Linked DNA regions of Arabidopsis thaliana. The protein of the gene in region 1 interacts with the protein of each later gene in a biochemical or structural test. Each region holds a gene or a part of one and is shown on either strand. Other genes may lie near its edges. The genes, in order: AT5G62440 and La1.

Evidence for each region.
Region 2: the proteins of AT5G62440 (region 1) and La1 form a complex in vitro, tested with the Arabidopsis thaliana proteins (one study listed by BioGRID).

What each region holds. Positions count from the first base shown.
Region 1 is NC_003076.8:25,071,392-25,075,971, reverse strand, and holds AT5G62440 (EMB514 (DUF3223)), read left to right. Parts: upstream 1-1,902; 5' UTR 1,903-2,054; coding exon 2,055-2,351; intron 2,352-3,040; coding exon 3,041-3,352; 3' UTR 3,353-3,855; downstream 3,856-4,580. Other genes in the region: AT5G62460 (RING/FYVE/PHD zinc finger superfamily protein), read right to left, coding at 1-27, 125-463, 776-778. UniProt on the Arabidopsis thaliana protein: May play a role in ribosome biogenesis and in determining the rate of cell division. Involved in a process essential for nuclear and nucleolar functions.
Region 2 is NC_003075.7:15,785,393-15,790,570, forward strand, and holds La1 (La protein 1), read left to right. Parts: upstream 1-1,801; 5' UTR 1,802-1,920; coding exon 1,921-1,971; intron 1,972-2,074; coding exon 2,075-2,153; intron 2,154-2,252; coding exon 2,253-2,402; intron 2,403-2,679; coding exon 2,680-2,822; intron 2,823-2,912; coding exon 2,913-3,061; intron 3,062-3,174; coding exon 3,175-3,297; intron 3,298-3,386; coding exon 3,387-3,681; intron 3,682-3,786; coding exon 3,787-3,934; intron 3,935-4,029; coding exon 4,030-4,102; coding exon of another isoform or gene 4,103-4,106; intron 4,107-4,200; coding exon 4,201-4,291; 3' UTR 4,292-4,604; downstream 4,605-5,178. Other genes in the region: SCRL24 (SCR-like 24), read left to right, coding at 945-1,011, 1,247-1,449. UniProt on the Arabidopsis thaliana protein: Binds to the 3' poly(U) terminus of nascent RNA polymerase III transcripts, protecting them from exonuclease digestion and facilitating their folding and maturation.

The DNA.
Region 1 (4,580 bases):
ACGTTGAACACACTTACGATGAGCATACTATAGACACAAAATACCAAATTGATGAGAACTGTTTTAAACGAAAGATACCAACAAAAACAAATAAAACAATGAGATTCATTGATAAAATTATCACCTTCAAACTGCCACTACAAGAACAAGGGGACTCGAGGTTCTTAACGGAATCCTCCTCTTGGCATATACGACATTCAACCGATTGGATGAGCGGTTCCTCTTCATCATCAACATCGCGTTGTTCCGTTGTCTCTTCTTCCTCGGTTTTCTTACCATCCATAGATTTAGTAGTAGACAGGCTTGTGGAACCCTGAGCTCTAGAACTCTCTCCAGAAGATTCAATAGATTGATTGGATCCTCTATCTGAGTTTAAACTTTCAGGTTTCACGAGACGGTCAGTACTTGAACTCTGATCATCAGCCATCTCTCTTTTAGCCTCAATGTGTAAAAAAACGTTGTCCTGTTAAAAACCAAGAAAGATCCAAAGATTCAAAATAAAAATCTCATAACTCTTATAATGATAAATGTTCCATCATCAACACAAAAATCTCCATTTCTTTGAATCGAAACATCATAATTGAGCTCAGACAATCGATTTCATTTCATTAAAGCGGAACAATTCAGGGAAAATGTCTTGGTGGAAGAGATTAGGATCTGAGTTTAAAATATGTCTTTGTCTCCAAATTTCCCCAAATTTTCAAGACATAAACCTAATCGGAAAATCCCCAAATTTCAGAATCACATCTCAACCATGAAAACAAAAGAGAGATACCATTCGATTCCATCACAATTCAGGAATGAAATTGAAACCCCAAAAGTCACAGAAATCAAAATTCCCAAATAGCAGAATCAACCAACCATAACCCAAGAAGAAAATGAAAGAAAAAAAGAGATAAAAGAGAAGATGATCAAATTATGATTACCTATAGAAGAAGAAATATCGTGAATCGCAGAAAATGGGGGAAAGAAGCTCTCTTTCGATTTCTTGAAGGGCACAAACAGCTCTCAAGATGAAATTCGGACAAATGTGTTTTCTTGTTTGATGTTCGGTCTGGAAAAATATTCAGATAAGTAAATCAAAATTTCGAAGCGCGTGTAAACAGATAAATATATAATTAAATACACAAAACCGGAGTTATGGAGGTTGACGATTTGACACGGTAACGTTATGATAATCAGATTTTCACAAAAAAAAGTTTTTTTTTTTTTTGTACCTATCTATCTTGGTTCTTTTTAGATTTTAGATAATATTACAAAAATAACTCTTTACCAAAATACGATAAAATAATTCCATTATTTTTAGAAAATTTAAGATTGAGGTGTTTGACTGTTGATAGATAATATGGTAAGATTGACTAGAAGCAAAAAAAATATATTCCAATTATGTCAAATTTTTGAAAAATTTAAGAAGTTCCATTAATTCCACGAGATGTAAATAATTTCAAAAGATGTTCGTTTGACTTTGACATTTTCCTCTTTGGCAAAAATTGTGATTGATCAATAAGTTAAGTCTCCAAGATATCCCGACAGACTGAACATCTAAAACGTTTAGGTATCCCAAAAATTATTTTTAATAACATTGTAAATTATATCAACATTTTTTATCCAAAAAAAGTATAATATGATTTATTTGTTAAACTATTATATTAAGATTTGAGTTTTTATTCTATTATTTAGAATTACTGACTATTATCCAAATTTTCTACAACAGTAAAAGTAATTTGTAGACTAAAAAAATATCTTGAGATGATTAATAAAAAAATATATTAGAAAAATGTAGACTTTAAAATGAAAAGATTTAAGAGACGTAAAAATAATAATTGGACAGATCAATGACGACAAATTAGTTACTACATTGAAAATCCTGGTTTTCATGTAGTGTATGCCGTCGAGCCAAAAAATCAAATAGACCGAACCAGTTCGGTTCAATCGGAAACCAAAGTCATATAAATATACCGCTTAGACGATTTCTGTAGGTCACACACCCTCAAGCTTAAACCCTAGAAATCGTAGAAAGGTGAAAAAAAGGCGGAAGCTTTACTAGCTTAACAATGGCTGAAGAACAAGAGATCGTCGATTCCCTGTCAGCGGAAGTGAACCCAGACCAGAAAGTGGACATGGAAGTCGAAACCGCGACCCCGAAAGCCGAGACCGGCGATGAGAAACGTGAGAGAGAGGAGACAGAGGAAGAAGAGAACGGAGGTGAATCGAAGAAGCAGAAGGTTGGAGAGGAAGAGAAGTCAGGTCCGGTTAAACTTGGTCCCAAGGAGTTTGTTACCTCTGTGGCGATGTTCGATTACTTTGTCAAGTTTTTACACTTTTGGCCAACTGATCTCGATGTTAATAAGGTAATACATATTTGGGTTTACTCTTCGTCTTTGTCTTTTGGCTTTGTTTATTGTAAAGTTTCAAATTTTTTGGAAATATTCATTCCTTTGCTCGAGACTTATATAGGTTAATCTAAGAGCTCTGATTGTGATTATTAAGTTCTGTGATGTGTTTAGGAAGATGTTTTATCAATGAATCTGATGATGATCGTGCTTTGTATTTAAACTAAAAGAAATTGAGAATTGGGTTCGCCTTTGTATTGGTCATATGATTTGATTTTGGATTCAGTGTTTGGTGTTAGAATTTTGTTTTTGTCTCAAATTAGTGGTTGTTTACAATGATTGTGGATATTGTATTATGTTTAGGGAGATGATTGTGGATATTGTATTATGTTTAGGGAGAGGATTAGTGAAGTGGAGATAGCTTGTAAATTGGACTCCTTTGCAGCTTTTTTACTAGTTGAAAAGTTCAAATGTATCGTGTTCTTACTGATTATATGATTGTGGATTGTGTGTGAATTAGAAAGTTTTTTTGGGTCTTGATGTCATATAATGGTTAGAAGAATGAAGTTAATGTCAAATTTTGAGGGCACAAATAAAAGATAAAACATTGCATAGTCATGTAATATATTACAGTTGTTGCAGTTTCTTTTGAGCTTCCAACTAACTAACTCGTTGTACTGAACTTTGTTCTGGATTGTACATTTCAGTATGAGCACATGGTGCTGCTAGATCTGATTAAGAAGGGCCATTCTGAGCCTGAAAAGAAGATTGGAGGAGGAATCAAAACCTTCCAAGTAAGAACCCACCCAATGTGGAAAAGCAGATGCTTCTTTCTGGTTAGGGAAGACGATACTGCAGACGATTTCAGCTTCAGGAAGTGTGTTGATCAAATCCTCCCATTGCCTGAAAACATGAAGACTCCTGGAGCTAACGGCAATGGACATGGTGGAGGTCGCGGTGGCGGTGGTGGAAGAAGAGGCGGTCGTGGTGGTGGTAGAGGAGGGAGATTCAGAAGATGAATATGCTGACACTTGATGCCTTATTTCAAAAGAAAATTTTGAAAATTTCAGATTTAGTTCTTTTGCCAAAAACTTTAAAAGTTATGATCTTGTCTAATGCAACTGCTTTTTGTTGGAGAAAAATTGTCAGTTTATATAACCCATTATTGCTGAAGAAGAAGAATATTGTCCCTACTATCTTGACAACATCAGAAAAAAACACAGACGCGTCAATAGAACTAAAAATCTGGTTGATCTAGTTTTTAAAAACCAATAATTCAAAAACGAAAAACTCAAATCAAAATCTAGATGAAAAAAAAACACTTTCCATTGATAGTGTAGTGTTGATCTGGTTGCTAAATGATAATGTTAAATAAAAAGAATTGGGGAAGTTATGAAAAACCGACATTTTGACTTTGGTAACTTACTGTGTGTGACATGTTCACCGTTTACGACCCTTCTAAGAGAAAGACAATGCCCTCAAACTAAAGCTGTCTTAAATCTTAACCCTGCTAAAAAATGATTACATGAAGTGATAACACTGGTTGGCACACGTCTTGGAATAATGGATTATTTTGAAACACATTATGAATTATAAAGAAACATTATCCGATATTCGGTATTCGGATTAATATTCCAAATTGTCTTCTTACACAATATACAAATAGACACATACACAAATTGTCTTTTGAAGATGCAACAAATTTTGTTTTGTTAAGCCTTCTTAGATTTAGGAAGCTTCTTAACTACGATCTTACTGCAACACAATCAGTTTGTGAAATCTATGATCTGACCAAGATGCAGGTGAGTAAGGGACCTACAGTAGAAGTTGACATGGAAAAAAGGCAGAGTTTGGTAAATCATAAAATGTGGCAGAGACCTTTTTGGTAATAGCCAATGAGAGAGCACCTCATATCTATTACCTTCTTCTGCAGTCTTCTTATCTTAACGTACAACCGTTCACTTAATGAAATTCGTCAATGGATGTTATATGGTTGTGAAGTTTTTTTTTTGTTTTTTTTTTTATAATTGATTTTCTATTAATGGTTGTGATTAATCTTTGTGTATAAAAGAAGGGTATATGTTTCTCCAAACCAAAAAGTGTAGATCGTTTTCAAATGAAGGATTTTTATCCTTCTACCAACCAATTAAGAAATTGCACGTAACAAGACAGCTCTCGTGTGAGCTGCACCAAAGCCATCCCCGCGATGCTGACATTTACCTACCCAAAAGTTTCTAAACAGTTTAC
Region 2 (5,178 bases), on another chromosome or scaffold:
ATTGTATTGATCCTGTTATAGTGTAATTACGCATTTTGTAATTGGCCATGGTACTACAATACTAATACTATCATGTTATCTGCAGACTTCAATCTTTTATTTTTAAAAATTAATTATTAGCATTTGTAATATTGATGTAATTTTAATACAAACTGTTTATTAATTTGTTTGAAAACTTATGTGGACAAATAAAATTAGTATACAGAACAAAAAAATATGTTTCAATACCAAAAAAAGTTCACTCCCTAAGCTTTTCTGTCTCTTAAGGATAACATCCTGGATGAGGTCTCTCGATGATTCCCCCCACATACAACATAACCATATAAAAAAAAAATCATCAGCCAAGTGAAGCCTCGGGAACAGTAGTGTGAACCTTTGGATCCTTGGCCTATCGTCAAATGATCGACGACGGTCGAGTTGATTGATCCTACACAGTACACAACCTGAATGTTTTCCCATAGCATCTCTGCTTCATCTATTCCTTGCTAGTAGGATTGATCCCAGAAAACCATAAATTTGTTTTATAAAGATTGAACGTTTGTCTATAGATTAATTTTCAATGGATTAAACATTGTAAATTAATGGTCTTATGGATTTTGTGAGTTTAGATTATCAAGGTTAGAACTGTGTATTTTGAAAAGAATAGGTGATGCGTCATCACAATACACGCAAAAAAAAAAAGTGAAAAATATATAATACTAGTAAGTAGATTTACAAAGAAGAATTTTTCCAAAAAAGAAAGAGTTGATCCGTCGAACTCGTTAATTAAGAAGGCTCGTTGAATTTTACAAAGCAAATTCTAAAAAAAGATGCATCTATTTTTACGATATCTCGAATATATTTATTATGAGTGTTGTTGATAAGAAAGATAAAAAATTCGAGAGGCAAACAATAGTTTTCTGCAACTATAGAGATAATTAATAATTCTTATCAGCTTTTCAATCATGAGATCTGTTATTTGGTTTATAGTTTCTTATACTCTCATGTTACTCGTTCTGAGAGGTGGTAAAGGTAATATGTTGAGTTTTTTTTGTATGGACGTAACTCGTATATAATAAGATATAAAACAAGGATGTTCTTTCTAATTGCAAAAACGGTGTTGTGATTAAAGGAAATAAAAAGCATTGTTACAACGTTAACATATGGTTTAATAGTGAACTTATTTGGATTGTCATTTGTTTATTAATCGAACTAAAATTAACGTTTTTTTTTTTTTTTTTGGTTTGTGTGGTTGAGAAAACAATAGAAGTGGAAGCTGAGAAACTGTGTACAACGATAGGAGACTTGGACGGTAAATGTAGCCAAGACGGAGAAAAGTTGTGCATGAGATACATGACTGATCAATCTAAAAAAAAGTTTCTTAGCTGCACATGTAATAACGTTGTTATGTTACACAAGTACAAACATTATTGCGAATGTCAATCTCATTGTACTCCAAAACAAACGTAAGCTGTAACTCTATAATCAATATATCTCTTTACAACTAAATAAGAATTGTTGATAGAGTTTGTAGTGTTTTCACGACTCAAAAATACAAATGTTGTGCTGATTGAAGTATGAATTTTTGGTTCAAGTCTTGATCTTGATCATTGAAAAAAATCGTGAAAATATTGATCAATTGCCAACGAAAAGACGTAATGGGGTGAATCAGATAGTGTAGGATTATTTGGGGTAATTTTGTTACATTCTAAAGTATAGTGGGTGGGGTTAAATTGATAGTATTAAAAAAGTCAAGGGTTAATACGAAATACAAATATAATCAATAGCGAAAAACCAAAAAATAAATAAATAAATGACAATTTGACTCGAAAACTTTAAGAGAAAATGGAAACTGTGTCTCAATAAACCCTAGTACCCTTTTTCTCTCTTATTCTTCTATCTTCCTCCTCCTCTATCTTTCGCTCGAGCCATTGAGCAATTATGTCGATTCCTTGTCTAACCGAAGAGACAGCCAAAACTGTTCTTCGCCAGGTACAAACTTGTCTTCTTCTTCTTCTTCTGCGGTTCCTCTCTAGTAGCTTCACCAGTTTTTTTTCTTTCGATTATGTTCTGATATTTGATATCGATTTTATAGGTGGAGTTCTATTTCAGTGATAGTAATCTACCCATTGATGATTTCCTCAAGAAGACTGTTACAGAGAGCGAAGATGGCTGTAAAGTTTTAAACTTTTAAACAAATTCAGTCGCTATCGCTGTGTATTTTGATTTTTTTTTGTTATGGCTAATTGATGATTTTTTGGTTTGTCAAATAGTGGTGAGTTTGGCGTTGATTTGCTCCTTTAGTAAGATGAGAGGATATTTGAAGTTGGGTGATTCTAAAGGAGATGATATTCCTGAAGATACCATCAAAGCTGTTGCTGATACTCTTCGAACCTCTTCTGCTCTCAAGATTTCTGACGATGGTGAGTTTCATGATATAATCAAGTTTCTGTTGGGTTTGGATATAGTTAACAATTGCTTTAATTGATTCAAACGAAGTAGTGATATCTTAGAAGAAAGATAATAGTTTGAGAGTTTCAATTATAGGTGAATGGCCTGTGTAGTGCATAGTTTAAACTTAGTTTCATTAAGAAAAGTCTTTGCATGTGGATTTTACAAGTTTGATAATATGTGGTGTCAGATTGGAGAAATATGTTTTGTACAGTTTAGTGATCAATTTTGTTGGATTTTCTTAAACAGGGAAAAAGGTTGGTAGGAGTACTGAATTGTTGAAGCTGGAAGATTTGATTGAGCAACTTAATGCTAGAACAGTAGCTGCGTCACCTTTCTCCTATGATGTTAAAAGGGAAGACGTGGAATCCTTTTTCAGTCAGTATGGAAAGGTAATCCACTATCGATTGAATCATAAGCCATTGTTCAAAATTTAGATTGGTTATACAAGTTTTTGGTATATGTATGTGTCGTCCTTGCAGGTTAATAGTGTGAGGATGCCTCGTCATGTTGCAGAGTCGAGGATATTTTCTGGTGTTGCCTTGGTTGAGTTCCCTACAGAAGAGGATGCCCAGAATGTTATGAAGCAGAATTTGGTCTTTGCTGGTCAGGAGTTGGAGCTGAAACCAAAGTAATCATACTTAGACATGAAAACATGTCCTGTTTGCTGACTGTTTCTCATTTTACAAGTCTTTCCATTGAATGTTTGGATGGGTTACTTAAAAGGTGATATATTCTTTTCAGGAAAGAGTTTGATAATGAAAGGGAGAAGGATGAAGTAAAATTTGCTAATTACCAACCTCAGAAGGGATCTGCAAATCAGAAGAATGGTTCTGATCACAAAAACAATTCTGCTTATGAGCCAGAGTAGGGGTTTGACTGTTGCTATCTAATTACTTGTCTTTTCATGCTAATAATCCTCTTGATCTGATTATGGCTATTTTATCGTATTGTAGTTATCCCAAGGGTTTGATCATTTCATTCACCCTCAAGCGTTCAGCTGAAGAGGGTACCACGGAACAAAAAAGTTCTGAGGAGCCAACTGATAAGACAATGGAAGAAAGTGAAACAAAGCCAGCAGATACTCCTGATGCTGATAAAGAAAACACTGGTGAGGTTCAGGCCGAGGGAGCAGAGGATGAAGATGATGAGAAAGAAGAAAAGGGTGCTCTAGCCACCCATAAAGATAATAAGGATGTTGTCTTACGTGAAGATCTTAAGGCTGTTTTCGGAAAATTTGGTGATGTCAAGGTACTACTTGAGTTTTACTTAGCTGTCTGTCAACATGAATCAGATTCAATATCTCATATAACTGACATCATTTTCACTGATTCCTTTATTCTTTTTGTTGTGAAGTTTGTTGATTTCAAGATGGGATCTGAGACGGGTTATCTTAGGTTTGATGAACCTGAAGCATCCCAGAAAGCCCGTGCAGCAGCAGTATTAGCCAATGAAGGTGGACTAGCCGTGAAGAATTTTATTGCTGTCCTAGAACCTGTTATTGGTAAAAACACCTTTTCAACTTCAATCTTATCTTATAACTAAACCTTGTGTTCTGCTTTAGTTAAATGGTCACTTGTTTATATTGCTCTCTGTCAGGCGAAGCTGAAAAGGAGTATTGGACTCTCCTACGAAGCAAAGATCGGTTTGACAAGGGTGGCCGTGGAGGAAGGTGAGTTCATGTTTTTGTTCTGGTTTCTTTGTTATGATTTTGTTTCAAATGAAGTTTTTGTTTGGTTCTTCAGATAATAATATACTTGGTCTATGCAGGGGAGGAAGAAGAGGAGGGAGATTCGGGAGAAAGAGGGGATCAGATTCACCGGGTGGTCGCTGGAACAAATCTCAGAAGGTGGAAGCATGAGAGATTTCGCTCGTGACTGCTTCTGTTTTTCAATATATTTCTAGTTGCAACTTTAAATTTAATGTATCGACTGGTGACTCGTGATGTTATAACTAGAAATAGCTGCTTATTTGGCAAATTTTGGTTTAGTCATATTTGGTATTGTTTTGTTTAGCTTTATGTGCCTTCTTATGCACACATCTCTTTCCTTAATTATTTTAAATCGATGTTTAGGAAGCATTCTAAAAGACAAACTATTAATATTAACTGCTAAAAGTATATTCCTGTAAATTCTACAACTGTATCAATTGACTCACTGATGATGACACTATTTTACTTGAAGTAGTTAAAATTAATTTTGAAAATCAAATAGTTTTGGTATTCTTCTTGGTCTTCTCGTTTGACTTTGTCTACATTGTTATTAGGTTTTTATGCTGATTTTAGAATTAGCTGTTACTGGCAATTTCATCTTCTTCCTTTTTAATGAGAAAAAAACTCTTCTTTCATACAAAGAATGCTTTGCCGTTGTTTAGAAGAAGAAGCAACAGAGAATCTCGAAAGAAAAATGAATGAAGAAACGTATAAATAAATAAATTGAACTTTTATGATATGAGAGACTAAAAAGCGAGATTCAGAGATTGAAATCAACGGCTGAGATCACTTTCCTTTTTGTTTTGATCTCTCTCTCTCTCTCTCTCTCTCACTTCGAATTCCGTCCGCCTCTCCATGTTTGAGTTTTGAATACCTCTCTCTCTCTCTCTCATTCTCTCTCTCTCTCTCTCTCTCTCTCTCTCTCTCTCTCTCTCTCTCTCGACTTCGATTTCGATTTGTGTTCTTCTTCTTCTTCATCTGGATTCTCAGCGTCTTAATTACTTCAGATTAATTTTGGAATTCGTTGATCTGCAAGG